Linked DNA regions of Xenopus tropicalis. The main gene of each other region encodes a partner of the protein of the gene in region 5 in a complex. Links are inferred from orthologs where the notes say so. Each region holds a gene or a part of one and is shown on either strand. Other genes may lie near its edges.

Region 1 (3,422 bases), on a different chromosome or scaffold from region 5:
CCAGCTTAAGGGAGAGTCCATTACTTATCTGTAAACACTTAGGCAGCAAATATGTAGAAGTGTGCCAGAGTCACTTCTGATGCAACATTTCTTCCCCTAACACTAGCCCAGTCATTTTACAGACAAGCTGACCATGACTGCTTTTGTAATAGCAGCACATAAACCCTAGGTAGGCAAAATGTGGGAGCATGCCAAAAACTTACTGTGTGAACCGTTCTACAAGTTTCTCTCACCAATTGGTTACAAAGAATGGAAGGCAGACAAGGTAGTACCCCACCACAGGAACAATATATTAGGGCGCATCAACTAAGAAGTTTAAAAAAAAAAACCATATATATATAAAAACTTGATTCAAACATGGCCACAAAACCGCTACTGAAAAACAAGAGAGTGATGGCTAAAAATATTAAGCAACTGCATCATTTAGCTAAAATGCTTTTTTCACAATACAAATATGAATAACAGTTTTATAAAAAGAAAAAAAATGAAATTCAACCATCAAGAAGGTAAAAATGTTTATTTCCCTTAGGACAGTCATGGATCTTGAATCCTTTAACTTTGTCTTTAAAAGGTGCTTCCACCATGGCAGGTCAGTATTTTCCTTGTACCAGAACAATCTGTGGTACATTGATACAAATGGTGCTGTGAATACCCATTTTGTTTCCTGAACATTAAATGCAAGTGTCCTTGACCATACAGGTCACGTTAGCCATCATACAGTTTCATTAGCTTCACCGTTACCAAAATGTTAACCACTGCTAGGTTTTCCTGCATGTGCTCCCATTCGTTGAGGGTCTTGTGATGGATAGTGGATATGTCCAGGAGCACGAAGGAATGGTGGAGGTGCCATGGGTGGGAACATGTGTGGGCCATATCCTAAAAAACACAAGATAAACAGTTGCACACCACCAGAGAACTGTGACTTGAGTACAAATAGCCACTGTAACACACATTTTATATTAAAAACACATCTTTCAGTCAGCATACTATTTATTCTACCCTATGAACAAATAAATGGAAATATGCTATCTTTTCCAAAAGATAAAAAAAATCAATATACACACAGTCTGCTACTACAGAGGTTGGTGTAGGGCAATATTATTAATAATACATTAATTGTAATGAAATCTGCTATAAATGTGTGTTTTAATTAAGCAACAGAGTACAACTAGTAGAGAAAATGTCCAAAACACAATGCAAAAATACTAAGGATACAGTTATATTGCTCCTGAGCTAATGTAGGATTCTGAATACTCTCAGTATGTAAAAAGTGCCTTTACATGGAAGCTTGTAACAAACATTACCTGGAGGTGGCCCACTTAATCCAGGTGGAGGTGGAAGAGAAATGTTCACTAGAGCTGCTGACCCATTAGGAGGCAGGTTAAAGTAATTAGCTGAAGATTCTTCTTCTGTTGGTGGAGGTGGCAGGGCTGGAGATAGAACAGAAATGTTTTATTAAACAGGCTGATACTTTTAATTCATGATTCAATTTGGAAAGTCTCACTTATGAAGAAAGGCTGGCCAAGTTATATTTGTTTACACTGGAGAAGAGGCGCTTAAAGGACATGTAAAGCCTACATTTGCCTACAATATATATCAGTTAGGCAGGTCTCCCAAATTGCATCATTTGTACTGCATATATCCCCTCCGTATGCCAGCACCATCACATTTTCCTAAAGCAAATAGCAGCTTTCACCCGGTGGCCATTTTTCCTCTGCTACGTAATCAGATACATTTAAATCTGCAAACAGCATACACACACACAGACCCTTATTCAGCATACATTTCATCAAGAATACAGGCTCACACAGGCACAACTGTCTCTGATAGAAGTTTTGCTTTGTTTTGCACTGTAAAAGCTAAGCTCAGGAGAAACAAATTGAAGCAGACAGCTAAAGCTGAGTTTCTATGGGAACCAGCAATGCCATCTCTTTACTGGCTGCTAGACTGGGGGGCGTGTTTAGTAATCTGAGCTTAGAACAACTGAGCATGCCCACAAGCCAACAGCCAAAGCAAATTCCTAAGGGAGGGGGCTGAGTGGGTTACAGGAGGAGAAGGAAATCTAAGTGATTAAGGAGATGTTGCAGCCTTACTATTAACCTCTGGACAACCAGTATGGCAGTTATTTAAAGATTTCAAAGAGGCTGTTCACTGATTAAATTTTGTGTGTGTGGGGTTTACATGTCCTTTAAGGGGTGGTATGATAACTATGTATAAATATATAAGGGGATCATATAATAACCTCTCTAATGCTTTATTTACCAGTAGGTGCTTACAACTGACATGAGGGCACCCACTCAGTTTAGAAGAAAGGAGGTTCTGTTTAAATATTCAGAAAACCAGTCGTACTGGCTGATACATTATATAGCTTCAAGAAGGGGTTGGATGGCTTTTTAGCAAGTGAGGGAATACAGGGTTTATGGGAGATAGCTCTTAGTACAAGTTGATCCAGGGACCGATATGATTCCCATTTTGGAGTCAGGAAGGAATTTTTCCCCCCTCTGCGGCAAATTAGAGAGGCTTCAGATGGGGTTTTTTTTTTTTTTTGCCTTCCTCTGGATCAATCTGTTAAGCAGGTTATATATAGGCATTAAGGTTGAACTTGATGGATGGATGTCTTTTTTCAACCTAACTTACTATGTATTTTATAACAATCTTTATGAACTTGAAAATGCCACTGTTAACGTTAAAATTACTACATGTGTTTGCAAAAATTACAGTGCCAGACTATATCAGCGATACTGCCTAGGCGCTTCAGGTATCTATTAAATTATAGTTAAAAATGTATGTATGCAGTCAACACAGGCTTGGGCAGCTATTTGCTTGACTGGTAATGTGGACTTAAGTTGGCCAACCAGTTTATCAACATTTTGCTTGGAAAACTGGACAATCCTATTAAACCTCTTCAGCTCTTACAGCAATGGAACCCACAAAGTTTAAATTAAGCTACTTATGTCAGCACAGTTGGGAACTGTTAGGCTTCCAAACTGACTGTGTCACAGAACTTAAGGGTAAGCAACAGGCAATGATTTTTAGGGTGAAGACTACTCCAGAAAATACCCTGCCATAGACAATATTGAGAATTGCCTTTGCTAAAACAAATGTAGAGACAAATATTAGTAAATTATCAGCATTAGTCATGACAAGTAGCTGCTACTAGTAGTCTGTGTGTCTTCCCCCTTATTCCTTGGAAAAGTGACCTTATTAAGATTATAATTAAAATTATAAGGCATTGCTATTGTTGGGCAATACACAAGGCTGTACATGTCCAATAACATTATAAAGAAAAAAACATTTAAAAATTATATCTTTTTGACCAGAGCCTTAAAATAACATTTATTGGCAGCAACAACCAGCTTTCTTCTACATGAAAAATGTTTTCAACCTACAGGTGTGTTGAGAACCATGAACAACATCTGCCC
Region 2 (3,799 bases), on a different chromosome or scaffold from region 5:
ACTTCTTTAGTTTCCATGCTATTTGCAGTATTCACACCAAGTCAGAGCCAGACAGATAGGGGAAAAGTTTCATTTGCTGATGCTGGAAGTGTCTCTGGGCTCAGTGCTGCTTGTGTCTCCGCCTGCACAGAACAGCAGGGGGCGCTCCTGTTACACCTTCATGATATTAACATTGTAAAAACAGATGAGACCCAGGAGGAAGGGCAATGCCAGGCTTTCCCACTGTATCTCTATGGCCTATAGAAGACAGTTCATTGGTTTTTACGCTGATTTCCTCTCACTGTTACACACATGACCCGTTATCTGTCGAAGCTGCCCATGTGGGAAATCCGTCCCAGCTCAGAACATACCTATTTCCCTCTGGTGAGATCAGGCACTTGTGCAGAGACGGGGGTGCTATCTAATATATAATGGTGTGCCCCCACCCAGGCCAGGGTTACGGTTGTGTGGGGTGCTCAGTACAGACCCCCAGGAGCGCACAGGATGATAAAAGTGGAAGATTTCTGGAAAACACTTTATTATTAATATTACAGTGAAAAACAAGTCAGAATTTCCTTATAAAAGCCGGTATGTGCCCGGCCTACGAGGCAGCACTGGGGCATTTGGGTGAAACAGGGAGACCCATCCCTGCGCCTATCAGCACCCAGGCAGAGACTACTCGCTACATTTCCAGAGTGAAGAGCCATAAAGCAACCAGAACCCCCAGCAGCGCTGCCCAACATGGCGCCAGAGTCTCTGCAGCAGGACCGGTGCTGTTACCCTGGAACCTGTAATCCTTGGGGCAGGGCCTTAATAATCTTCAATATTTTCCTTATTCTCCCCGCTCCTCTCTTTCAGCTGATAGACTTCATTCTCCATTTGCACAATTGCTCTCTCAATCTCGTAGTTTTTGCTCACAAGAGACACCCACCTGCAACCGGCACAGAAAGCAAGTTAGAGACAGACGAAAATGACTACCAGTTCTATTAAAGCTAAAATATTAGCATCCCATAAATACCATACACTGTACTAAGCACAATTCAGCAGGAACAGCCCCCTAAGTTTGCTCATAGCCTGTACAGAGAGATACCATAAAACTATGGCACATAGGGATTCCCCTGTACTAAGCACAATTCAGCAGGAACAGCCCCCTAAGTTTGCTAATAGCCTGTACAGAGAGATACCATAAAACTATGGCACATAGGGATTCCCCTGTACTAAGCACAATTCAGCAGGAACAGCCCCCTAAGTTTGCTCATAGCCTGTACAGAGAGATACCATAAAACTATGGCAGCATAGGGATTCCCCTGTTCAGCAGGAACAGCCCGCTAGGCACACTCAAAGCCTGTGTGTACTTCATTCATGGAAATACAGTATAGGGGAGTAGGTATTCCCTTGATAAGTTCACCCTAGGTGTGAACAAAATGCACAAATCTCACTTACGTTGACTCCATCTCTCTGAGTCGGGCACCTGCTGTCAGCTGGGAGTTCTTTCTCTGCCAGTTCAAGTCCTGAATCTTTTTCCTGTTCCGGTAACAAGACAAATAGTGAAAGCGTTAGAGCTGTTAAAATGGAAGTGTGCAACTGCTAGTAATACCCCAGGGCTAGGAACTACCCCACGTAGGTAACTCGAAGCTCATCCCAGTAATTACACAGGAACTGAGCTCTAAATCTCTGCACTTCCTGCTTCTGGGCTGCTCTCTTCCCCACGGCCAGGGAAGGATTATATATATATATATATATATATATATATATATATATGGTTAGTATGGGCTTAATGCCGTCTCACCGTAACTTCTGGAGATCTTTCTGCGCGCAGTCGATCATATGCAGCAGGTTCCTGGGAGGAGACAGAAGAATCACGTGACTGAAGGGCGGCAGTATCATTGGGTCATGCTATATCCTGTGCTGTAAATCAACACCCCCCCCCCCCCCCCCCCCCAACGCCATGTTCCCAACTCACTCGTTATAGACTTTCCAGGCGTTACAGCCGTGCTGGGACATGAGCTCCAGGTTCTCTATACGGACGGCCTGGTGTTCCAATTGGGCCATGGAGTTATTGACACATTCCTGCCACGCGGTGATGTCGTTCCTCTGGCCGGATAGGGGGGCCGGTAACTCATACCTAGAATCAGAGAGAGGGGTATGGTATTTCCACGGATACCCTTCAGCACAATGAGACCACATGGAAACCACAGGGCTGTAAAGCAATGCACAGATCTTGGTCCAGTAACCCATAGTAACCAGACGGCACTCACCTCTTCATGCTGAGCAGTTCGAGGGGCTGGCGCGACGAAAGTCTTTCAAACTCGTTCCTCATGATTTCAGTCTAAATAAAATGAATGAAAGTTGGAATCTTGGTCTCCTCTGTGAAGGGAACATGCCCCCCACCCACGTGATATTAGCACCAGTAGGTGCCAGGGTGGGCTCTGTGCATGCAAACCCCTCGGGGTTATGGGACTATGAAAGCAATCTTTGGAGAACTGACAGACATAAGGACGAGTAGTAGCAGAATGAATAATGAAGTATTAATATTTTGCAGAGATATCAAGTTGCTAGGGTCAAATTTACCCTAGCAACCAGACAGTGGTGTGAATGAGTATAGGGGAGGGGCTGGATAAAAAGTAACAGTAACAATAAAATTGAAGCCTCACAGAGCAATAGGTTCTTAGTTGCCAGGGTGAGTTCTCTAGCAGGGAAGCCATTTGGTTGGCCAATGTGCAACCACCGTGAATAGAGCAGAGGGGCACCCAGTGTAGGGTGCTGCAGAATAGGGAGAAAGCCATTACCTCAAATGCGGAATAGTCGGGGGTGGGCAAGTAACTCAGGTAGTTCTTTGTAGGCCGATATCTTCTGGTCTCCTCTTCCACCAAAGCTGCAGCCTGAGAGCAACACAGACCGGTTATTTACAGTAGAAATGCCCCCAATGGGAGTCATGTGACACACAGGGGCAGCACAGACCGGGTATTTACAGTAGAAATGCCCCCAATGGGAGTCATGTGACACACAGGGGCAACACAGACCGGGTATTTACAGTAGAAATGCCCCCAATGGGAGTCATGTGACACACAGGGGCAGCACTGACCGGGTATTTACAGTAGAAATGCCCCCAATGGGAGTCATGTGACACACAGGGGCAGCACTGACCGGTTATTTACAGTAGAAATGCCCCCAATGGGAGTCATGTGACACACAGGGGCAGCACAGACCGGGTATTTACAGTAGAAATGCCCCCAATGGGAGTCATGTGACACACAGGGGCAGCACTGACCGGGTATTTACAGTAGAAATGCCCCCAATGGGAGTCATGTGACACACAGGGGCCGCACTGACCGGTTATTTACAGTAGAAATGCCCCCAATGGGAGTCATGTGACACACAGGGGCAACACAGACCGGTTATTTACAGTAGAAATGCCCCCAATGGGAGTCATGTGACACACAGGGGCAGCATTGACCGGGTATTTACAGTAGAAATGCCCCCAATGGGAGTCATGTGACACACAGGGGCAGCACTGACCGGGTATTTACAGTAGAAATGCCCCCAATGGGAGTCATGTGACACACAGGGGCAGCACAGACCGGTTATTTACAGTAGAAATGCCCCCAATGGGAGTCATGTGACACACAGGGGCAGCACAGACCGGGTATTTACAGTAGAAATGCCCCCAATGGGAGTCATGTGACACACAGGGGCAACACAGACCGGGTATTTACAGTAGAAATGCCCCCAATGGGAGTCATGTGACACACAGGGGCAGCACAGACCGGTTATTTACAGTAGAAATGCCCCCAATGGGAGTCATGTGACACACAGGGGC
Region 3 (4,194 bases), on a different chromosome or scaffold from region 5:
CACTGAACTCAAGTTGAAAAGGAGACACTGTGTGATTAGTACTCACCTTGCAGTCTTTGATGTCAGTGCCTTGTTCTCATTTAGTTTTCTGCCTCCACTTTCTGTGTAAAGAGAGAGAAAAATCAATAACCAGAAGAATACTGTAATAATCCTTTCCCACAGAAGCCAAATGTGTTTGTTTAATTAAATAAATTAGAAATATAAGCCTCCCATCAAGTCCCCCATTTGAAACATTGTACATAATACTATAGAGAGGTTACCAGCTCCAGGACTTAGGGGCCATAGGCAAACAAATGAAATATTTTGGATTTTTTCTTTTACTTGAGCAAACATTAATTCTGACAGGGACTGTTGTGCCAAAACAAGACAAAAAAATACTGCCTATTAAAATAAACAAACAGTGGCATATTCACTAAAGAAGGCTTACGTGTGAATGGAACAATTCATCAAAAAATGAAAGTCCGCCACCCCAGTTGAAAATAAGCCTTAACCAGGTAGACCAAACAGAGCAGTTTTAGGGGTCCCTGGTGGTGCAGTTCTGGAGGAGGGAGGGAAGACTCTGGAAGTGGCCATGGCTTCAAACAGCCTCCTTTGGGTAAGCCAGTCACTGAATAAACTAAACCGACTGTTTTTCAAGCAAAAAAGTGTATTTTATACCATATTTATTTAGAAAAAAATAGCTTATCATCAATTTACAATAGGCAATAAAAATATCAGTTAATGCTTTTAATTGCATTACTCTGCTAATATTAGCTAGATACATGCAGCGATAACATTTCAGGTAAAGAGATTGTTAAAAAATGGCTAAAGATAATAACTGGTGGCACTTCATGGAGGCATTAAAGGAGAAGAAGTCATTTTGGCATTTAACTGCCAATAGGTTTGCCACATTAGTGCCACCTAGAACACTATATTTATTCTGCAGAAAGCATTGCCATACTTGAGTAAAGAGCCCTAGAAGCTTTCTCTTTTTAAGATTGCAGCTGCCATTTTAGCTTGGTCTCCATAGCTTCCTGTTTGCAGTCTAGCGTTATAGCTCAGATTACACATTCCTAAGGGAGGGGGGAGTGAGTCTTATGAATTCTTATGGGAGGGGGGAGCAGGAGAGAGGAGAGAGCTGCACTGACTCTGGTCACAGGAATGAAGGATTTTTCTGAGAGAGAAAGTCAGATACCCTAAGAACATGTTTACAAAAAAGTAGACAAGAAATCCTGTGTTTCTTTTGACAGAGGACTCAGTGCAGCGTTTCTGTGAGTGCTTATGACTGTATTTACATAGACCTTTCTGATAAAGTTTACTTAGTTTTTACCTTTCCTTCTCCTTTAACCAATGAGTTTATTCATATAAGCCTTTAGTGTACAAATGTTTTGCTTGTGTACTTATTAAGGGAAGCTGCATAGGTGGCAGAGGCACACTTTGAAGCCTTTAATAACACAGCACAACAGGTTCAGCCCTTAAATGTCACCATATATTTTACAAAAAAAATAAATATTAAAGTCTGCCTTTATATAAACAATATCTGGCCTTTATAATAGGATCAAAGTTCTGCCTCTGAAAGACTGGGAAGAGCAAGAAGTGCTAGTGGATTGATACACAATAATGCAAATCCGATTAAATGGCACCACAACTTACCAGTGGTATTCCTGGCACCGGATTTCCATGTGTCTGGAGTGATAACTGTGCCCAGTTTCTTCTCACCTGTCATTAAATACACGTCATTAGTTAATGCTGCTCCTGCACACACATATCCCTATCTACGTCCTTAAAGGAATACTGTCATGGGAAAACACGTTTTTTTCAAAACCCATCAGTTAATAGAGCTTCTGCAGCAGAATCCTGCATTGTAATCTGTTTTTCAAATATACAAACAGATTTTTTTTATATTTAATTTTGAAATTTCACATGGGGCTAGCCATATTCTTCATTTCCCAGGGTGCCACAGCCATGTAACCTGTGCTCTGATAAACTTCAATCACAATTTACTGCTGCGCTGCAAGTTGGAGTGATATCCCCCGCCCCCTCCCAGCAGCCGATCAGCAGAACAATGGGAAGGGAGCAAGATAGCAGCTCCCAGTAGGTATCAGAATAGCACTCAATAGTAAGAAATCCAAGTCCGGCTTGGGACTCCTCCAGTTACATGGGAGTAGGAGAAACAATAGGTTAGCTGAAAGCAGTTCTAATGTGTAGCGCTGGCTGAAAGCTCAGACTCAGGCACAAGGCACTGAGATGGCGCCTACACACCAATATTACAGCTACAAATACATTTGTTGGTTCAAGAATAACATTTTAAATGGCAGAGTGAATTATTTGCTATGTAAACAGTGTAATTTAGAAATAAAAAGTATACCACATAAGTCATGACATTATCCCTTTAAAAACAACAGTAATTACATTCTCCCATACAGGTATCCAAAAACGTCAATGAGATAATCAGAATATATAGTGACAATGAGCAATACAGTCAGGGAGAATAGTAATAGCCGGCAGCACAGTAAGTATATTACTACGTATTGCGAACAGCGGATAAACCAGAGCTACAGCTATGTCTGCTTTATTTATTACTAACAGTAGGCACCCCTAGCAACCAACCAGCCATTGGCTTTGCTCAGCCAGTTGCGCAGACGAATGTGAAGGATAATATAAACAGGACGCCATGGTTTACAGCTGCTCGGCAAATGTATCCAATGGCAGGTGTAAGCGTTACCCACATAACACGGCTCTATGGGAGCTGCCCGGTACCAGGAAATACACCCAGCGAGATTAAACCCGGTTTGTTACTTACACTTATCGCACACCATGTCCCACTCCGGTCACACCAACAATCACACGGCTCTTGTCAACAAAGTTCCTTAGGAACGTCACTTCCGGATCTCGTCACCACCAATGGAAACCGCTCCGGAACGTCAACGTCAGTTGGCGGAAGCCGCCGCCTGATTGGCTTATGTGACTGTCTATCAAACACAGCTTCTGCTCCTTTTCAGGTGAGGGAGGAGGAACCAGAACCAGAAGTGGTGCAGGGTCAATGAGCGCACAGGTGAGTATTGGGAGACACAGCGGGACTTCCCTTCTACCCTTATATATATATATATATATATATATAGCTCAGTCTGTGGGAGTTTTGGTGCTGTTGAGCTACAGCTGCTTCCTTCCATTGGTGTGTTTGCATAAGCTCCTAGGGGGAGTGATGGGAGTTGTAGTAAAGACAATTAGCAACATGGGGTGTTCAGCCTGAAGGCCAGTTAGGGGAGATTGCCCATTACATACACAGCCCAGCCTGAAGGGCCAGTTAGGGGAGATTGCCCATTCTGTGGCTACATACACAGCCCAGCCTGAAGGCCAGTTAGGGGAGATTGCCCATTCTGTGGCTACATACACAGGGCAGCCTGAAGGCCAGTTAGGGGAGATTGCCCATTCTGTGGCTACATACACAGGGCAGCCTGAAGGCCAGTTAGGGGAGATTGCCCATTCTGTGGCTACATACACAGGCCAGCCTGAAGGCCAGTTAGGGGAGATTGCCCATTCTGTGGCTACATACACAGCCCAGCCTGAAGGCCAGTTAGGGGAGATTGCCCATTCTGTGGCTACATACACAGGGCAGCCCAGCCTGAAGGCCAGTTAGGGGAGATTGCCCATTCTGTGGCTACATACACAGCCCAGCCTGAAGGCCAGTTAGGGGAGATTGCCCATTCTGTGGCTACATACACAGCCCAGCCTGAAGGCCAGTTAGGGGAGATTGCCCATTCTGTGGCTACATACACAGCCCAGCCTGAAGGCCAGTTAGGGGAGATTGCCCATTCTGTGGCTACATACACAGGGCAGCCCAGCCTGAAGGCCAGTCAGGGGAGATTGCCCATTCTGTGGCTACATACACAGCCCAGCCTGAAGGCCAGTTAGGGGAGATTGCCCATTCTGTGGCTACATACACAGCCCAGCCTGAAGGCCAGTTAGGGGAGATTGCCCATTCTGTGGCTACATACACAGCCCAGCCTGAAGGCCAGTTAGGGGAGATTGCCCATTCTGTGGCTACATACACAGGGCAGCCCAGCCTGCAGGCCAGTTAGGGGAGATTGCCCATTCTGTGGCTACATACACAGCCCAGCCTGAAGGCCAGTTAGGGGAGATTGCCCATTCTGTGGCTACATACACAGGGCAGCCCAGCCTGAAGGCCAGTTAGGGGAGATTGCCCATTCTGTG
Region 4 (3,998 bases), on a different chromosome or scaffold from region 5:
CCCAGAGGCTATTATCCCACTGCTACTATAGGCACCATCTCTCCCTACTATACCTGCTATCCCACAGCCACAGTCCCTTCCCAGAGGCTATTATCCCACTGCTACTATAGGCACCATCTCTCCCTACTATACCTGCTATCCCATAGCCACAGTCCCTTCCCAGAGGCTATTATCCCCCCACTGCTACTATAGGCACCATCTCTCCCTACTATACCTGCTATCCCACAGCCCCAGTCCCTTCCCAGAGGCTATTATCCCCCACTGCTACTATAGGCACCATCTCTCCCTACTATACCTGCTATCCCACAGCCACAGTCCCTTCCCAGAGGCTATTATCCCACTGCTACTATAGGCACCATCTCTCCCTACTATACCTGCTATCCCACAGCCACAGTCCCTTCCCAGAGGCTATTATCCCACTGCTACTATAGGCACCATCTCTCCCTACTATACCTGCTATCCCATAGCCACAGTCCCTTCCCAGAGGCTATTATCCCCCCACTGCTACTATAGGCACCATCTCTCCCTACTATACCTGCTATCCCACAGCCCCAGTCCCTTCCCAGAGGCTATTATCCCCCCACTGCTACTATAGGCACCATCTCTCCCTACTATACCTGCTATCCCACAGCCCCAGTCCCTTCCCAGAGGCTATTATCCCAGTTGATATTATTAATCCTTTTCTGACACCTACACAAATACACCTCATGTCATGTTACTAAACTCCCTCCTGCTTTCCATGTAGAATCACCTGAGAATCCCAAAGCCCTGGTTAGTGCCCGGACAGGGCCATTACAGGCATCATATTAAAATAAACAAGTGCTGCCCATCACGGACAGACGGGCCCCGGTTAGAGTTACCTGCTCCAGGCGTAATTGTGCGAGCACCTCAGGTGTCACACGCAAAAATGTGTCCTTAGCACTTGTGAGTTTCAGGGACACAGCAGCCCCGGGCGGTCCCGGACCTAGCATCCTACTGTGGCGTACCCACAGCAACCCCCTTCACTCCAGCGCTGTGTATGACGAACGTGCAAGTAACAGAACTTCCATCGCTAACGTTATCAGCTCCTTCATGCCTACTGGGTAACTTCCGCGCTGTTTCACCTTTGACAATCGAGGAAATCCCACTCACCCTGTGTCTGCTGACGTATAGTACCTCCCGCCCAATCAGAGAATGGCGTGCTCTAATGACGCCTGTGTGCGGGGCAGTCCTTCCGCCTATTGGTTCTGCTGCCTTTCCGCCTATTGGTTCTGTGTCCCGGCCTGTGTTTGGTACAGGGAGAGAGGGAACTATTTCTTAGACAGCAGAAGCCGATGGCAGAAAGCGCAGCAGTGCAAGTGCAGGCCTACGCACACCATGAGCAGCGAAAGATATGCGCCTCACGGGCCAAGTACCGCGAAGGACGGAGGCCCAGAGCAGTCAAAGTGCGTGAAACATTTACAGTTTTTGTTTTGGTTTTTATACGTCCACACAACTAGTATTCCAGCGTATTCTTGCGGTGGGACTGAGCGCCAGTGCCGCTCTAGCAGGTTTCCCTTCGTAGAAATTGCTCCCTAGAGTTATCACTGAGTTACAGCTTCCATAAGAATGTTAGCTCTTCTATATTCATGTGGTTTTAATTGGGCACTGTGTGGGAACTGGTAATGATTTCTGTTTCTACATAGGAGCATATTGTTCCACTGAAGGAAAAAATGCTGCCTTTTTATCTGCACCCACTGATAGGGGAATAGTGTGGGAGAGGGATTAGAGTTCTAGTTCACCATTTGGAGGCAGTAGGTTTCATTATAAACTATGGGCTATTTCCCATGATTGTAATTATAGATGTCACAGACCCAGTGGCTGCAACTGATAAGGCTAAATATATGTTTATGAATAAAAAGATAATTTTGTGGTTGGGCCCAGTGGTCTCTAGTTACACCAGCAGTCATGTATACTGCAAGCCAGTGGGGTACCACAACAATTTCAATTTAGGGCCCAAAAAATATTTGTATGTTAACCTATTCTACCAAGATACATTGACATTTCTCATCAATTAGGGTCTTATTGGGCCACTTCCATTCCTGGGCCACTTCCATTCCTGGGCCACTTCCATTCCTGGGCCCCCTTCCAACTGCAGGGTCTGCCCTAGCACACACTCCAGTTTCCCTTTCCTTGCCCTGTAACATTACATCATTTCACTCTGCACACATTCTCATACAACCAGCACACTTAACATGTCTGCATATAAAAAAAACACACACAAACTGATACTATTTTCTTTTAATTTCATAAAGAAGAGTATAATGCACTCAGTTACTGGGTTCACGTTAAACTGAGGGGTATATTTAAAAAAAAAAAAAAAGTTTAAATTTGACGCTTACCAAGATTGACTTGTAAGGGTCTGTTTTAAGCTTTCCATATCATGTGACAAATGTAAGATGCTGATGTGCATTTAAATTTTAAATGTTTGAGAAATAAAAAAAATTATATTTTGACCAAAAACTGAAAATGTGCCTCATCTCAGTTTTGTGCCTGTAGCCCTCGGCTATTGCACCCAGTCAGATTTATTCATATAATGCCAGAGATTCTCAGCTGGATTGAGGTCAGGCCTGTGACAGAGCCATTTGATCACTGGGATCACTGTTCTACTGAAAGATTAATGTTTATTTTTTAGCAGCCTGGAACAGGCTTTTTTTTGGTGATATTTCACTGTATTTTGCCCCATGCCTTGAAAACAATATTCCCAGTTGCTGCGTTAATTATATAACACACAAATCTGTGGTACTAATGAAGAATCAGGCTTTTGCGCAGAGAAATCTTTAGTTTAGGACTTTAAAAACTGTTGATTCCTTGCTGAATACTTGGACAGATAACCATTTGCTTTATACAGTATGGCAAACATGGCATATACAAACAGTTGTATCACTCTGGCTTGATTAAGCCATTTTACAGATGATGCAAATAGAAAAACTTTAACGTATGTTCAAGCCAAAGAAAAGTATCCAGTGCTTTCTAGCAAGTTACTGGCTTTCCTTCAAAAGCGATACCAGTAAAATTATATAGCCATCCTCCCGCCAAGAGAGCTATATCACTGGGCTTTAAACTATTATATAAGCAGAAATGAGTTGCTGGAAAGCTGCACACCATAAGAGCAAGTTAATACCTGGGTGCCAGTGCTGAAAGCGTAGATACACAGGGTTGGAATGACAGCACACGCAGGATGTTTTTCAAGAAGAATCACAGAGGTTTAGATAAATAAATGTGAGGCTTTATTCAGTCCGACGTTTCAGTTCCTATCTGGAACTTTCATCAGGGACAGTAACATCACAGTGCAGTACAAACCTTTTTAAGCACAAAAGGGCCCTAAACCTCTGTGATTCTTCTTGAAAAACATCCTGCGTGTGCTGTCATTCCAACCCTGTCTATTATATAAGCAGATAGTCTATACTTCTTCCACCAAGGGACACAACAAATGGCTTCTGAAATTTTCTCAATTACAAATGTCTCAAGGCCTTACAGTATGCAAATAAATGTCTTCCAATGGGATCATATAAAGAAATGCATCTAAAATTCTTTTTATTGAGCCTACTACTCGCCAAAAGTCAGTCCCAAATAGGACTCTCTGGAGGCAGATTTATTTAATTGTTTCTGGACATGTCCTCATAGTAAAAAGTTTTGGGTATCAATAACTTGTTATGCCATTGATAACTTGCTAGACTATGTTCCTATGTTACCAAAATGGATTATGTTCCTATGTTACCAAAATTGACAATGTTTGGTATCCCTACCAAATACTAGACTTATTGGGGGAGTAGAAAAGTACTGTTTATCATATCTGCAGCTGCTCGTAAATATATGCTACAAGTGTGGATAGAGAAACAACCCCGTCACTGTCTTTTTTTAAAAGTAAATTTTATATATTCACCTATTATTTCACCTGTTTCACATGGATTGGCTAGAAGTCTCCCTCCAAAAAGAAAAACACACGAGATGAAGAAAGAAACAAATGGCAATCAGTT
Region 5 (3,954 bases):
AGAATAAAATATGGGCAAAAAGGGCCAAAGGAACAACAGACATTTAATGGAAAGGGGTACAACACAATCCAGCAACTGACCTCCAAACCCACAGAACCCAGTCTCCTTGTAATCTTTGCAAATATCTGGCTGGTAATCCCAACGTACTGTGGCTCTGAGGTGCTCTGGGGCACGTATTGGTCCTTTCCTAAAATGATAAAAGTTAAAGTTATCAATGCAGACTAAACTATTAGGATTTAATCACCCAGTTGATTGAAAAGTGAAATGTTTCTAAATTAAAACAGAATGGAAAGTGGGAGGGGTACACGTACCTAACCATGCCAGAGGATGCATTGCCCATAGAGGTATCTTTGGGTTTCACAAACTTCTGGTAGTTGTGGATTCCTCGATAGATCTTGTCATCTTCCTTCCCCTTCAACTCCTGTCAGATTAAAGCAAAATAAATAGTGGGAACTAAACAGAGTGTCATCTATGAAAAGGAGAGTATTACAATATTAAAGAAAGTAAAGTGAAGAGAAAAAAAGCACAGAATTTTTAAAGAAACTGCATGTAAGTCATGCAGAACACTGCATGCTTTACTAACACTTATTGCATTCCTTAGTGATCCCCAACCATTGGCTCGGGGGCAACATGTTGCTCACCAACCCCTTGGATGTTGCTCTCACTGCCCCCAAAGCAGGTGCTCATTTTTGAATTCTTGACTTGGTGGCAAGTTTAGGTTGAATAAAAACAAGATTTGCTAACAAATAAAGCCTCGTAAGCTGATGGTGTGCATAGAGGCTACCTATCTTATTTGGCACCTCCACAAACTTTTATGGCACTTGTGTTGCTCTCCAAGTCTTTTTACATTTGATTGTGGCTCATGAGTAAGAAAGGTTGGGGTTCTCTGCTTTAGTGGTTCTCTCATAGTTTAAGGTGAATATATAATCCACTGCATCACATACTAAATACTCACTTCCTGTACTTTCTGGCTCCTCTCAAAAATTGCCTGAGCATCCTTGTCTTTTTCAGTGTCTAGTTCATATGTAGCTGTGGCTCCCATGTCATCTGGCCCTACTGGTTTCTGCAAGAAACAAAGAATGCATACATAGTAAGAAATGGGGGGTGTCTTAGACATGTCATTCTATAAATACAGATTTTTTTTCAATGCATCATTTATATTGAAACAAGACAGACAGCATAGGCTGATTCACAAACTGAATAAAATATCACAAAGAACTAACTGATGATGGGTTTCAAAGATTTTAACATTTATGACATAAAGCCTGTGCTAAGAATAAGCCAATTCCAAAAGAGTCTCTTACCGCAGATCGGGTAGATTTATAAGACACAGTGATAGACTTCGCTGTTTTGTCCTCATCTTCACTGCTGCTTGCTTTGTAATCTTCACAGTCCTTTGGTTGCTGCCTGCTCTAAATCACACACAGAGGTAAATACAACTACCAGAAAGCTCAAGAGGACAAACACTACACACATCCCTTCTGTGGCATGTTAACGTCTGTCCTGCACACAGGGTGACAGGCTGGAGAGGGTTATGGCATGTGTTGTGCTTCCATTCAGCCATTAGCTGCCAGGAGAAGATGATGTGGTATCTATATCTCTAAACAGAGAGGTCTACAGGAAATATCTGGGAGAAGTGTTGCTGCCCACTCTGAAAGATTAACTGGCAGAAAATTTTATAAAGCTCCTTAATGCTCCTGGGGCCTCAGGGTGACATAGTGAATACCTGTGACTCTAACCTTCTGAATCATGGGATTAACCACATCCTTCTTTATCCTCCTTATCACTGGACCTTTCTCTTCCTCGCTGCTCTCTGCAAACAAATCAGTAAAGGACTGATCAGAATAGTACAACACACTTATACAACAGATGCATCTAAGTACTATTCTGAAATTCGATAAATTTAAGACACCAAATGCATGTGAGCCCAGTGACATAAAGGTATGGGATCCCTTATCCGGAAACCTGTATCCAGAAAGTTCCAAATTACGGATCTCCTATAGTCTCCATTTTAATCAAATAATTCACATTTTTAGAAATGATTTCCTTTTTCTCTGTAATAATAAAACAGTATCTTGTACTTGATTCCCAACTAAGATATAATTAATCCTTATTGGAGACAAAACAATCCTATTCAATATTTAAATGATTTTTAACAAACTAAAGTTATGGAGATCCAAATTACAGAAAGACCCCTTATCAGGAAAACCCCAGGCCCTGAGCATTCTGGATAACAGGTCCCATACCTGTACCAATGAACAGTAAATGAGGCTGTATGTATAATTATATTTGTTGTTGTTAATGTTTTGCAAATACTTTGATGGGTTTGATTTTTGTTTTGTCATTTGGACCTTAATTCCCTGGTACATGCTACTGATTTCTAATGGTAATTATATCCAGCAAACAATACAGCCACCCTCACCTGCATCTCCTTTAAGATAGTGGTTTTGAGTAAGGAACAAAGTCGAATAGTTGGCCAATATACACGTTTGAAAATAAAAGCAAAAACCTTATTGGTTGCTAACAGCAACAACACTTGCGCAATTAGTTGTATCTGCGCTCTCTTCTGCATTTAACTCATTTACTCCATCCCAACACTTTGCTGAATTTTATACACGGTAAGCGTGTAATGCCTATAATACTATATTATAATAAACATTTATTTGCACTCCCACTTTCTCCTTGTCTCACCATTGTCCGATTCTTTGCGTTTCCGTCCCGCGAACTTTCGGGCACTTTTTTTAAACACGAAACTGCAAACTGGTGCGTTAGAGTCCGCCATTATTCCTGTGACGCCAGACTAGCTCCAGATTGCGCGCATTGGCTGAGGCCACTTCCTGTTTAGAAAGCGCACGCAGGCGCATTACCGGGGGGAAGTCGCGTTGCTCCAGTAGCAAGATGGCAGCGCGCAAAGCGAAACGTGTGAGTTCGAGCTTTGCCAAGCAAAGTGATGCCGAGCGCCACGATTTGGATAGCAAACTCGCAGCAGTACTGGGAAGTAGAACCAATGCCAACGCGGTGTTTGATATTCTGGAACATCTGGAGGTGAGTGCCCGCTTTGCAGTGTGCTAGCAAACAGTATAACAGCAGCCCTGACAAAGAAGAACATCTTTTGCACGAAACAGAAACACAACATTTTGTGTGACAGTATGCACGTCTAAACAGTGTGACTGGAAGTATTTTAAAGTTCTTATAACAGGGCTCGGCAACCAGTGATAGAAAAAGACAGATGGGAGATGGCCATTAGGGAAAAAAGGAAATGTGAAAAATTACATTTTTGCAGAGAGAGAGAGCTTTTAGCGAGGGTAACATATCAGATTGCTAAGGTTACCAGCCTACTCAACGTATAATTGATGTTATTATTAATCAGCAAGAAAGATCCTGTCTGAATATTTATTTAGAAAAGACTGCAGCCTACAGACAGGGCCAGGTGGGCAAGGCGTGACAGCGGTGGGCAGAGCTAAGATTGAATGCTCAGGTCTGAAAAGAGTGGAACTGCTGGTACATCAGGCCGAATTGTTGGCAGTCAGAATCAGCACTGGGTGGTGCAGGGAAAACAGAATGGCATGAATACATAGTTGTGGGTAATGGGAGAGGAAAATTCTAGTAGCAACGACAATTCCATGAAAGATTCTTTCTAACCTCTTGTCTTTTCTCATTTGCTTTCCCTATTACCTCCGCTGCCCTTTCATTCAGGACCTTCTGTTTTGATCTCACACTTTTCCTAACTTTCCCCTTTATCCCCCGCAACCTTCTGACTCTCACTTTTCCGATTACCACACATTTTCACCCCCTCCATAAACAGAACAACAAATGTGTTTGCGAGTTTCAGTTCTCCTATATTACGGTATAGAATCAGTCACACAGGAACTGTTCCCTTGTGATTATTGTTTGGTCTGTAACAGCTTGTATATTCCTCCCCATAGTAATCACAGTCTATGTACTCCTGAGAGC
Region 6 (4,259 bases), on a different chromosome or scaffold from region 5:
AAAAGGAATACAATAGTTAAACAGTTTAGCAGAGAAAAGGTAGCAGTCACATTGTTTTTCTAGAGAAGGGATACAATTCTTGCTACTAGGTAGTTATCAAGAAAAAAAAGGGCAATCTACTCACGCCTCCTTGGAGGTTGTGCTTTAAAGAGAATATTTAAAAGGACAATTTGTTGCCTTTTTAAATAATTGTTAAATTACACAGTTTAGATAAGAAACTATTTAAAAAGTACATTTTTTTTTTTTACAGAATATACTTTACATTTTTCACTGGTTCACATGTATGTATATATATTTTTATTTATAAAGCGCTACTTATGTACACAGCGCTGTACAGTAGAATACATTAATACAAATAGGGGGTTAATAAGATAATAGATAAATACAAAGTATAACAATAAATACAAATACATACAAGATACAGTTACAGTTGCAATAAGTTAAGAGTCAAAGACACAAGAGGATGGAGGTCCCTGCCCCGTAGAGCTTACAATCTATATGGCACATGCAGTTGCCTTAACATGCTGACAAGAGTTTGCTTTCTATTTCAGAAAAGCAGACATATATGCTGTAATGTGACCACCTACAAAGCATCCCCAGTGCACAATTCTTACCTTATCAAAACTTCTCCAAGATGTCCAGACAATGCACCATCAATATATTCTTCTGTGTTTGCAAGCTGCAATAATATATATAAATGAATTAACCAACAGAAAAAGCTTCTCACACATCACAGCAACCTTGGATAATGGACACTCATTACTTTCTCAACCATCATTACTATAAAAAAAAAAAACTCTGCAATACAGAAATATTAATATTAATTGTTACTTATGTTTTAAAAGCAATTAAGCTGGCTAATTGGTGCTAATGCTACTAGGGTTAGCAATGGTACTATAAAGTGTCACAACACTCTGGCAAGCACTCCAGCTAATTGCATGCAACCTTAAGCAGCACTTAAAGGAACAGTAACACCAAAAAATAAAAGAGCTTTAAAGTAATGAAAATATAATGCACTGTTGCCCTGCACTGGTAAAATTGGTGTGTTTGCTACAGTAACACTACTATAATTTATATAATAAGCTGCTGTGTAGCCACGGGGGCAGCCATTCAAGCTGGAAAAAAGGAGAAAAGGCACAGGTTACATAGCAGATAACAGATAAGTTCTGTAGAGTACAATAGTGTTTTATCTGTTATCTGCTATGTGCCTGTGCCTTTTCTCCTTTGAATGGCTGCCCCCATGGCTACACAGCAGCTTATTTATATAAATTATAGAAGACTTTCTGAAGTAAACACACAACTTTTACCAGTGCAGGGCAGCAGCACATTATATTTTAGTTAGTTTTTTACACTTTAATTTTTTGGTGTTACTGTTCCTTTAATGTATTTCATTGCCAGCAATGGGCTGCTGATGCCCAAAACCATTTTACTTGTGCAATTTCCTAGTGTTAACTAGAGACAGAGGCAATCCAATCCAAATGTCTCATACACTGCTCTAAAATGGCAACAGGAAAGCCCAGATACAATTCTGGCACAATATAAAGGGAATATAATATAAATTATATATACACATGCATACAATATATATTTTTTTTTATTAAATAATCTAATAAATTAACTTATAACAGCAAGTAACCAACTATAATATCTGACATGTTCAGTGCTATTACTTACCTGCATGTTCATGTATCCATCCACTGATACCAAGTAGCCTTTGTACTCCATCCCCCATTTCAGCTTTACCATAACTGGCTTACCAGTGAGGCCATTAAGGAAGGGTTTTGGATTCAGTGGTAAACTCTGAAAATATAATCATTTATAATATAAATATTCAATAGGTCTTGTGATTAAAACGTCAACTCATGCAATAACCTGAAGTAATCATATGCATACATTTTCAATACTATATCTCTGCCTTTATTTGTCCTCAGTTTTCTCATGCTCCCTTCCAAGAAACCAAAAGGGGACACCTGCCTAATAATGATACTTGGGGCACGGCCAGCAACAACAACCACAAATCCATATCTAATAGAAATCATCCTTTCTTTGGTAGGAGGCTATATATTATTACACTACCACAGTAAAATGAAAAAGGGGCATTTATTTATTCTTCCTGATAGTTGAAAGTGCAGTTCAATAGCTGGAGGGCCACAAGGCTGCACATCACTGCTGGCTGAGGGCAGTCACAGTACAAACAGTATAACATGCCATTTGTAGCATTACCACTTGAGATATGATAGGCAGAGGAACACATGGCCTTTAGGAAATTATCAACTCCCATGTGCCACCGCTTTAAGAACAGACGCAAACATCCCATGTTCGCGGCTCATCCCCAGTAGAGATAGTACCATCCCACGCTGCATGGCTACTTATATTTCAGCGCAGCCTACACCGCGCCTTACATACAGGCTCTTTCCGTGCAACGTGCCCTTAGCGAGTACACACGCTGCAAAGATAACACGTTACGCCTTTCCACACAGGCCTAACAATAAAGCAACCAAACAAACCCGAACCAACTGCATAACCCATTCTGTAAATCCGGCGGGATAAGCTGCTACTCGGGATAATGAACAGCCCCACACACCATGCTGCCTGCACTCCCCCCCATCCCTACACACTGACACCCCCTGTCCCGCCAGGCCTGGAACTCGCACACCTCCAGTACTTACCATGGTGCGACCGCAGCCTCACAACAAACTGCAGATCAATAAAAAAAATTCCTCCCCGGAGCGTCCCGTAGAACACACCGCTGGAGCAAAGCGGGAAATGGCTGCCAAGGCCCGGAAGCGACAGGAGAAAAGACCATAGAGAGCCGACACGCGTTGAATGGCTAACTGCTCCCTCTAGTGGCTGGAGTTGGATTTCCAACATGACTCCAACAATCGCCAGTGGAGGCGGGATTATTTCACAATGGTGTTGTATTGTACAAGGCTCACCCTCTGTGCTGACTCCGGGCCGCCTCAGTACTACTAGTACTACAGGGCCTTCCCCCAGGAACCGCAATTAGGCATTTCTAATAAATGCAAGTTGCTATACTGCGCTGACTGCAATTACAACAAATACAAACATTGCGTCCCGTCTATTTGTATTTCGTACCTTGTTTTGATTATTTGTTAACGCTATGTAATTATATTCACTATTATGCACAACAGTCCAGATTTAGAAGCCTTGATTTTCCGAGGACTTGGTGGCACTTGGAGGGTAAAATTAGAATGGGTAAAGGAATACTGTCATGAGAAAAGGTTTTTTTTCAAAATGCATCGGTTAATAGAACTTCAACAGGTTTTTTTTTATATTTAATTTTAAAAGTTCACATGGGGCTAGCCATATTCTTCATATCCCAGGGTGCTACAGCCATGTGACTGATAAACTTCAGTCACACTTTACTGCTGCGCTGCAAGTTGGAGTGATATCACCCAGGAGTACCTGATTCCACAGGTAGAAAGAAAACCATGATAGTTTTCTCTGTGCTCTTTAGCACATTTGTCTCCCAATGTAATGCAAGCTGTCCCCCTTTATACCAGAATCTGTGCGCTTTTTACAAAGAAAGAAAAAGTGAGAGAGGGGTTGCATTACACTGTGACCCTAAGTGGGTTGCATACCCCCCAACTGTCCCGCTTTTCGCAGGACAGTCCCGGTTTTTACAGCGCATCCCGCTGTCCCGGATTGTTCAATGAATGTCCCGCATTACGGAAATGCAGAACATTCATTAAACTATCCAGGCCAGCGGGATGCGCTGACTGCAGCCAGCACTCCGGCTCCGTCTCGTCCTGTGGCTCCTGCTTCTTATTCGGCTCCTCGTACGGCGGCGACAGGCCCTTTTATAAGGTTGCGCCCATGCGTACGTGTGATGTCACACGTACGCACGGGGCGCAACCTTATAAAAGGTCCTGTCGCCGCCGTAGAAGGAGCCGCATAAGGAGCAGGAGCCACAAGAAGCAGCGTCAATGGGGGGCACTGTGTATGGGGGGCATTTTCTATTGGAGGTACTCTCTATGGGGGCAATTGGGGGCTACTGTGTATGGGGGGTGTTTTCTATTGGGGGTACTCTCTATGGGAGCAATTGGGGGTACTCTCTATGGGGGCAATTTTCTATTGGGGGTACTCTCTATGGGGCAATTGGGGGCTACTGTGTATGGGGACATTTTCTATTGGGGGTACTCTCCATGGGGGCAATTGGGGGCTACTGTGTATGGGGGGCTACTGTGTATGGGAGGATACTGTATGGGGGGCTACTGTGTATGGGAGGAAATGTGTAT
Region 7 (4,286 bases), on a different chromosome or scaffold from region 5:
TCATCCTACCCAGAAAACATGGGCTAGATCCCTCTCTTTAAACTGGCCATCTTTAAAGTACTAAAGCTGCTCAGCCGATTAGTCATTATTTAATCTGAACTTCACAGAAGCCAATACACTTTGCAATATTAGCTGCTAATAATCTGACCATATTCCACTAAATGCAGCCATACATGCTCAGATTTTGTAGTCTCACGACTGATTTCAGGACAAACTGTATAGCTGGTAGTGTACAAACAATTCTAGATGTAAGAATTTACTAATTGGCCCAACATTCTTAAAAATATCAGTTGGGCAACGATAAGAGTTGGTGTGAAAGTTGTCGTTGAACAGTCGCTTTCTGTGCATATATTGGCAGTACCTGCAGAAGTCAACGAACGCATATGACAAGACCCAAATGTTTGTTGCCAACCCTACATTTTAACCACATAAACACTATGAAAAGTCATGTGCATGCTGTTGGTAAATATAAATACAGGCAAAAGAATACCTTGCTGCAATACCAGCAAGCCAAGGCAACCAGCCACATTACAAACAAGCAGAACTCATTCGTTCACTTGTTGTAATAGCAAATAGCATACCAATATCGATAAAAATTGATGAAAAATACATCACTTCCTGTTTATACTGCTTCCGCCACAAGCTGATATAGCATTGTAGATGCACAATATTACTTTACCTTTTGGCAACAAAATGACGACATCTTTAACGTGCTACTTCTCTGTGGATAACATTGTATGATTAAATGCCATTTGTAAATGTAATTGCTATTGAAAGCAGCATTTGCCGAACTCCTGGTGGTTACTTTTTAAACAATGTTGCAAAAGTCAGTCTCCTTCCCCAAGTCAGGTCTGTCAGTTGGCTGCCTTGTGTTACATTGTTTCAAATGCCAGAGCCACCAGGGCAGAGAATAGAAAAGGACAGACAAACACTGCTTCTAATAGCAATTATATATACAAATAACTCAAAAACCATTACAAATTTGTAATAAATGTATATTGCAAAGCTGAGAATTCTGTTTTCTTTTATTAGGCAAAAAATTATATTTTGCGTTGCGTTGTCCTCAAATGTTAGTTTAAAAATTGGAAAATCTGACCATGAACGGCCACCCTAAATTACACACACAGTAAGGGACCATACAATATATGTTGCAGCTCAGTCTAACACTTACCACCATTCCAATGGTGTTTTGGTGGCCACCCCCTGATATCTCTGTGCACTCATCTATTACAAGGTTCATGAAGGGATCAAAGCCACGCAGAATCCCCTGGACATGTCTCCCACCATTTAACTTCACTGAAAGAAAGAAAAGAAAGGAAATTTGATCAGATGCTTCAAGGTTTTGGTGGTTTACTGGTTTGGGGAGTCACCTGGTACAGTTCCCTTATAACTGCATATATTTATATAGAGTGAGGAACAGCAGTCCTGTATCCTGAATAAATCCTTCATTGCACCATCTCTCTGCTGCTTCTTATTCTAAATAACACTGTTATTTGGCCAAGCACCTGAATAAGGTCCGAGCACAGACCTCATCATATATATTTTTATTTTTTAAAAGAAAACTATACCCCCAGAACGAATACTTAACCAACAGATAGTTTATATTTTGTTAAGTGGCCTATTAAAGAATATTGTCAAACTGGAATATATATTAGTAAATATTGCCCTTTTACATCCTTTCCCTTGAGCCACCATTTAGTGATGGGCTGTGTGCTCCCTCAGAGATCAGCTGACAGGAAATAATGCAGCTCTGACTGTAACAGGGAGTAGTGTGGGAGCAAAAGGCAGAACTCTGCCCATTCATTGGCTGATGGGGCCTAACATGTATGTGTGTCTTGGCTTGTTTGTGTGCACTGTGAATCCTATGATCCCAGGGGGTGGCCCTTAATTCATAAAATGGCAATTTCCTATTTAGTACCACCCGATAGCACATACTACTAAAAAAATAATATTTTTAAGAAAATGGTTTATTTAGATTAATTTAGTTTTACATATGAGCTTGTTTATGAAACATTTTTATAGAGACCTACATTGTTTGGGGGGTATAGTTTTCCTTTATTTTTTTTTCTTTTTACAAGTAGATGGAAAATTTTTCAATACTTACAAGACAGTTTCTTGTCCATGAACCTAAAAGTAAAAAGTACACAACATTTAAATACATTATATTATAATAATAACTCAACAAGACCTAATCACCTGTGCTCAGATCACTAGACTAGGGACCCAAGAGAAGCCAATGCAGTTCCCTTATAGGGTTAGTATCAGGCATAAGAGCTACTTCACTCTTCCCAGAGATCCATGTGCACATTATGAAATACTAGAATCCTTAATGAATCCTATGACTGCGACTGATGTAGTTGGCCAGCTTGGAGTATATTGCAATATATGGGCAATCAATCAGTTTGACCACAAAATATAATTGGAAGATATGTGGGAATCGAAAAGATCCCCATTTCTTTCTGTGTGAATGATGTGGTTGCAGCCTCCATGCTCCAAAACGGGCCATTCAACATGAAACAGCGCAATGGAGGCTGCAGGTTTGGGTGTATGTTCCCCGGCTACAGCCTAAGCCGCCCCTCCGCTCTGCCCCTCACTTGCCCTCCGCTCTGCCCCTCACTGCCCCCTCCGCTCTGCCCCTCACTTGCCCCCTCCGCTCTGCCCCTCACTTGCCCCCTCCGCTCTGCCCCTCACTTGCCCCCTCCGCTCTGCCCCTCACTGCCCCCCCCCGGGCCGTTCCTTACTTCTTCAGCTCGGGCGGGTGCGCTTTGCTCATTTTCGTTCCTCGTGTACAAAGCCCCGGTCGCTGCCGCCAAGTAACGCAGTCGCCTTAATGTGACGTAAGCACGTCTTACGTGTATGCGCTTCCCCGCCCACCCCCACGGTCGCTATGACGACCACCAAAGAATACAAAGGAGACGCGTTAGCCGGCTTTAGTTGGGCTAAATATAACATTGTGTATCAAATATTAAAGTATATAAGAAATATTGCAAATTTGATTACATATATACGTTTTCCCTGATTGGTTATAGAAGAATTTAACAAAAACTTGGGGCTATGGAAGCTAGTCGGTCAGCTTAGATGTCTGCCGCAAAACAACGTAGATGCCGTAGAGTTAGAGTAAGGGCAAGCCGTAACCGGAAGGGTATGTGTAAGGGCGGAAGAGAGGTGCGTTGCCCTTGGAGCACACGCTTGTCAGACATGGCAGAGGAACAGCAGAACCGGCTTCAAAATGCGATAGACACTATGGTGAAGAGCTTGGAAAGGGACAACATTAGGAAAATGCAGGTACCATAGTCTGGTGTAATTAGTCTTATGTCATAGGGCGTTACAGCCCATCTTCCATTACTTCTTTTATTATACTCTGCTGCCATTCAAAGTCCCCCTGGGGTAGCACTCCCATGCACTTGAATGGAAGGGGCACAAATGCCTGGGGGTCCAATAGGAATTGGTCATTTTTAATGTACAGGACTAATGGCTGTGGGATGCCTTATATACCAGGTTTTACTTGTCCTTTAATATAACATACTAGTTTTCCTGCTACATTTGCTTAGCACAGGGACTTATCTTTCTGTTCAGGTTTCTGTTCCTTACCATTAAACCGCAAGTACTGTTGCTGCAAACTTCATCAGAAATGGGTAGGGCAAAAAGAAACTGGGGCAAAAAGAAACTGGGGCAAAAAGAAACTGGGGGAAAAAGAAACTGGGGGAAAAAGAAACTGGGGCAAAAAGAAACTGGGGGAAAAAGAAACTGGGGCAAAAAGTTCAAATGAGTAAAACTTATGTTTGAAAGCCACAGTGTGGCCCAAGCCTCTTAGCAAAGGAAATCTATACCCCAGACAATGTAGGTCTCTATAAAAATATATTGCATAAACAGCTCAGATGTAAAACCCTGCATCTTCTAAATAAATTGCATGAAAATATACTTCTTTTAGTAGCACGTGCTATTGGGTAATCCTACATAGAAAATTGCCATTTTATATATTAAGGGCCTCCTGCTATTGTAGCACACAAACACACCAAGGGCATGCACTGAATCCGGGATTCGGTGCAGGATTAAGTCTAATCCAAGGTCCTGGCCGAACCAAATCCGAATTTTTAAAAACACCTGTCTTTTTGTCACACTCTGCGTGGGGTTCTCTTTAACCCTTACTTGCCTTAATTTGTATGTACAAATTTGGTTTGGAATTCGGTCAAATCTTTAACAAAGGATCCAGGGTTCGGCCAAATCTGAAAATAGTGAATTTGGTGCATCCCTATATACATATATTTTAATGTTGAAATTGTTTA

Evidence for each region.
Region 1: rnf113a (region 5) and rbm22 share a complex: the UniProt entries of both Homo sapiens proteins name them as parts of the pre-catalytic and catalytic spliceosome complex. The link is inferred for Xenopus tropicalis from reciprocal best matches to the Homo sapiens genes RNF113A and RBM22.
Region 2: rnf113a (region 5) and bcas2 share a complex: the UniProt entries of both Homo sapiens proteins name them as parts of the pre-catalytic and catalytic spliceosome complex. The link is inferred for Xenopus tropicalis from reciprocal best matches to the Homo sapiens genes RNF113A and BCAS2.
Region 3: rnf113a (region 5) and cript share a complex: the UniProt entries of both Homo sapiens proteins name them as parts of the minor spliceosome. The link is inferred for Xenopus tropicalis from reciprocal best matches to the Homo sapiens genes RNF113A and CRIPT.
Region 4: rnf113a (region 5) and rbm48 share a complex: the UniProt entries of both Homo sapiens proteins name them as parts of the minor spliceosome. The link is inferred for Xenopus tropicalis from reciprocal best matches to the Homo sapiens genes RNF113A and RBM48.
Region 6: rnf113a (region 5) and snrpf share a complex: the UniProt entries of both Homo sapiens proteins name them as parts of the minor spliceosome. The link is inferred for Xenopus tropicalis from reciprocal best matches to the Homo sapiens genes RNF113A and SNRPF.
Region 7: rnf113a (region 5) and snrpg share a complex: the UniProt entries of both Homo sapiens proteins name them as parts of the minor spliceosome. The link is inferred for Xenopus tropicalis from reciprocal best matches to the Homo sapiens genes RNF113A and SNRPG.

Annotation. Positions count from the first base shown.
Region 1 is NC_030682.2:89,081,480-89,084,901, forward strand, and holds the end of rbm22 (pre-mRNA-splicing factor RBM22), read right to left. Parts: intron 1,431-3,422; coding exon 1,305-1,430; intron 877-1,304; coding exon 749-876; 3' UTR 501-748; downstream 1-500. UniProt on the Homo sapiens protein: Required for pre-mRNA splicing as component of the activated spliceosome. Involved in the first step of pre-mRNA splicing.
Region 2 is NC_030682.2:7,012,579-7,016,377, reverse strand, and holds the end of bcas2 (pre-mRNA-splicing factor SPF27), read right to left. Parts: intron 2,862-3,799; coding exon 2,769-2,861; intron 2,309-2,768; coding exon 2,238-2,308; intron 2,105-2,237; coding exon 1,943-2,104; intron 1,820-1,942; coding exon 1,769-1,819; intron 1,504-1,768; coding exon 1,423-1,503; intron 911-1,422; coding exon 790-910; 3' UTR 501-789; downstream 1-500. UniProt on the Homo sapiens protein: Required for pre-mRNA splicing as component of the activated spliceosome. Component of the PRP19-CDC5L complex that forms an integral part of the spliceosome and is required for activating pre-mRNA splicing.
Region 3 is NC_030681.2:19,972,044-19,976,237, reverse strand, and holds the start of cript (cysteine-rich PDZ-binding protein), read right to left. Parts: upstream 2,801-4,194; 5' UTR 2,799-2,800; coding exon 2,783-2,798; intron 1,699-2,782; coding exon 1,633-1,698; intron 102-1,632; coding exon 47-101; intron 1-46. UniProt on the Homo sapiens protein: As a component of the minor spliceosome, involved in the splicing of U12-type introns in pre-mRNAs. Involved in the cytoskeletal anchoring of DLG4 in excitatory synapses.
Region 4 is NC_030682.2:31,762,945-31,766,942, reverse strand, and holds the start of rbm48 (RNA-binding protein 48), read left to right. Parts: upstream 1-1,198; 5' UTR 1,199-1,313; coding exon 1,314-1,424; intron 1,425-3,998. Other genes in the region: pex1 (peroxisome biogenesis factor 1), read right to left, coding at 861-971. UniProt on the Homo sapiens protein: As a component of the minor spliceosome, involved in the splicing of U12-type introns in pre-mRNAs.
Region 5 is NC_030677.2:156,458,542-156,462,495, reverse strand, and holds the start of rnf113a (RING finger protein 113A), read right to left. Parts: upstream 2,801-3,954; 5' UTR 2,783-2,800; coding exon 2,692-2,782; intron 1,814-2,691; coding exon 1,740-1,813; intron 1,413-1,739; coding exon 1,305-1,412; intron 1,064-1,304; coding exon 956-1,063; intron 422-955; coding exon 312-421; intron 188-311; coding exon 81-187; intron 1-80. Other genes in the region: noc4l (nucleolar complex protein 4 homolog), read left to right, coding at 2,899-3,045. UniProt on the Homo sapiens protein: Required for pre-mRNA splicing as component of the spliceosome. As a component of the minor spliceosome, involved in the splicing of U12-type introns in pre-mRNAs. E3 ubiquitin-protein ligase that catalyzes the transfer of ubiquitin onto target proteins.
Region 6 is NC_030679.2:57,034,490-57,038,748, reverse strand, and holds the start of snrpf (small nuclear ribonucleoprotein F), read right to left. Parts: upstream 2,801-4,259; 5' UTR 2,673-2,800; coding exon 2,670-2,672; intron 1,801-2,669; coding exon 1,675-1,800; intron 680-1,674; coding exon 615-679; intron 1-614. UniProt on the Homo sapiens protein: Plays a role in pre-mRNA splicing as a core component of the spliceosomal U1, U2, U4 and U5 small nuclear ribonucleoproteins (snRNPs), the building blocks of the spliceosome.
Region 7 is NC_030679.2:122,085,895-122,090,180, forward strand, and holds the start of snrpg (small nuclear ribonucleoprotein G), read right to left. Parts: upstream 2,801-4,286; 5' UTR 2,774-2,800; coding exon 2,742-2,773; intron 2,128-2,741; coding exon 2,105-2,127; intron 1,297-2,104; coding exon 1,172-1,296; intron 1-1,171. Other genes in the region: protein FAM136A, read left to right, coding at 3,199-3,285. UniProt on the Homo sapiens protein: Plays a role in pre-mRNA splicing as a core component of the spliceosomal U1, U2, U4 and U5 small nuclear ribonucleoproteins (snRNPs), the building blocks of the spliceosome.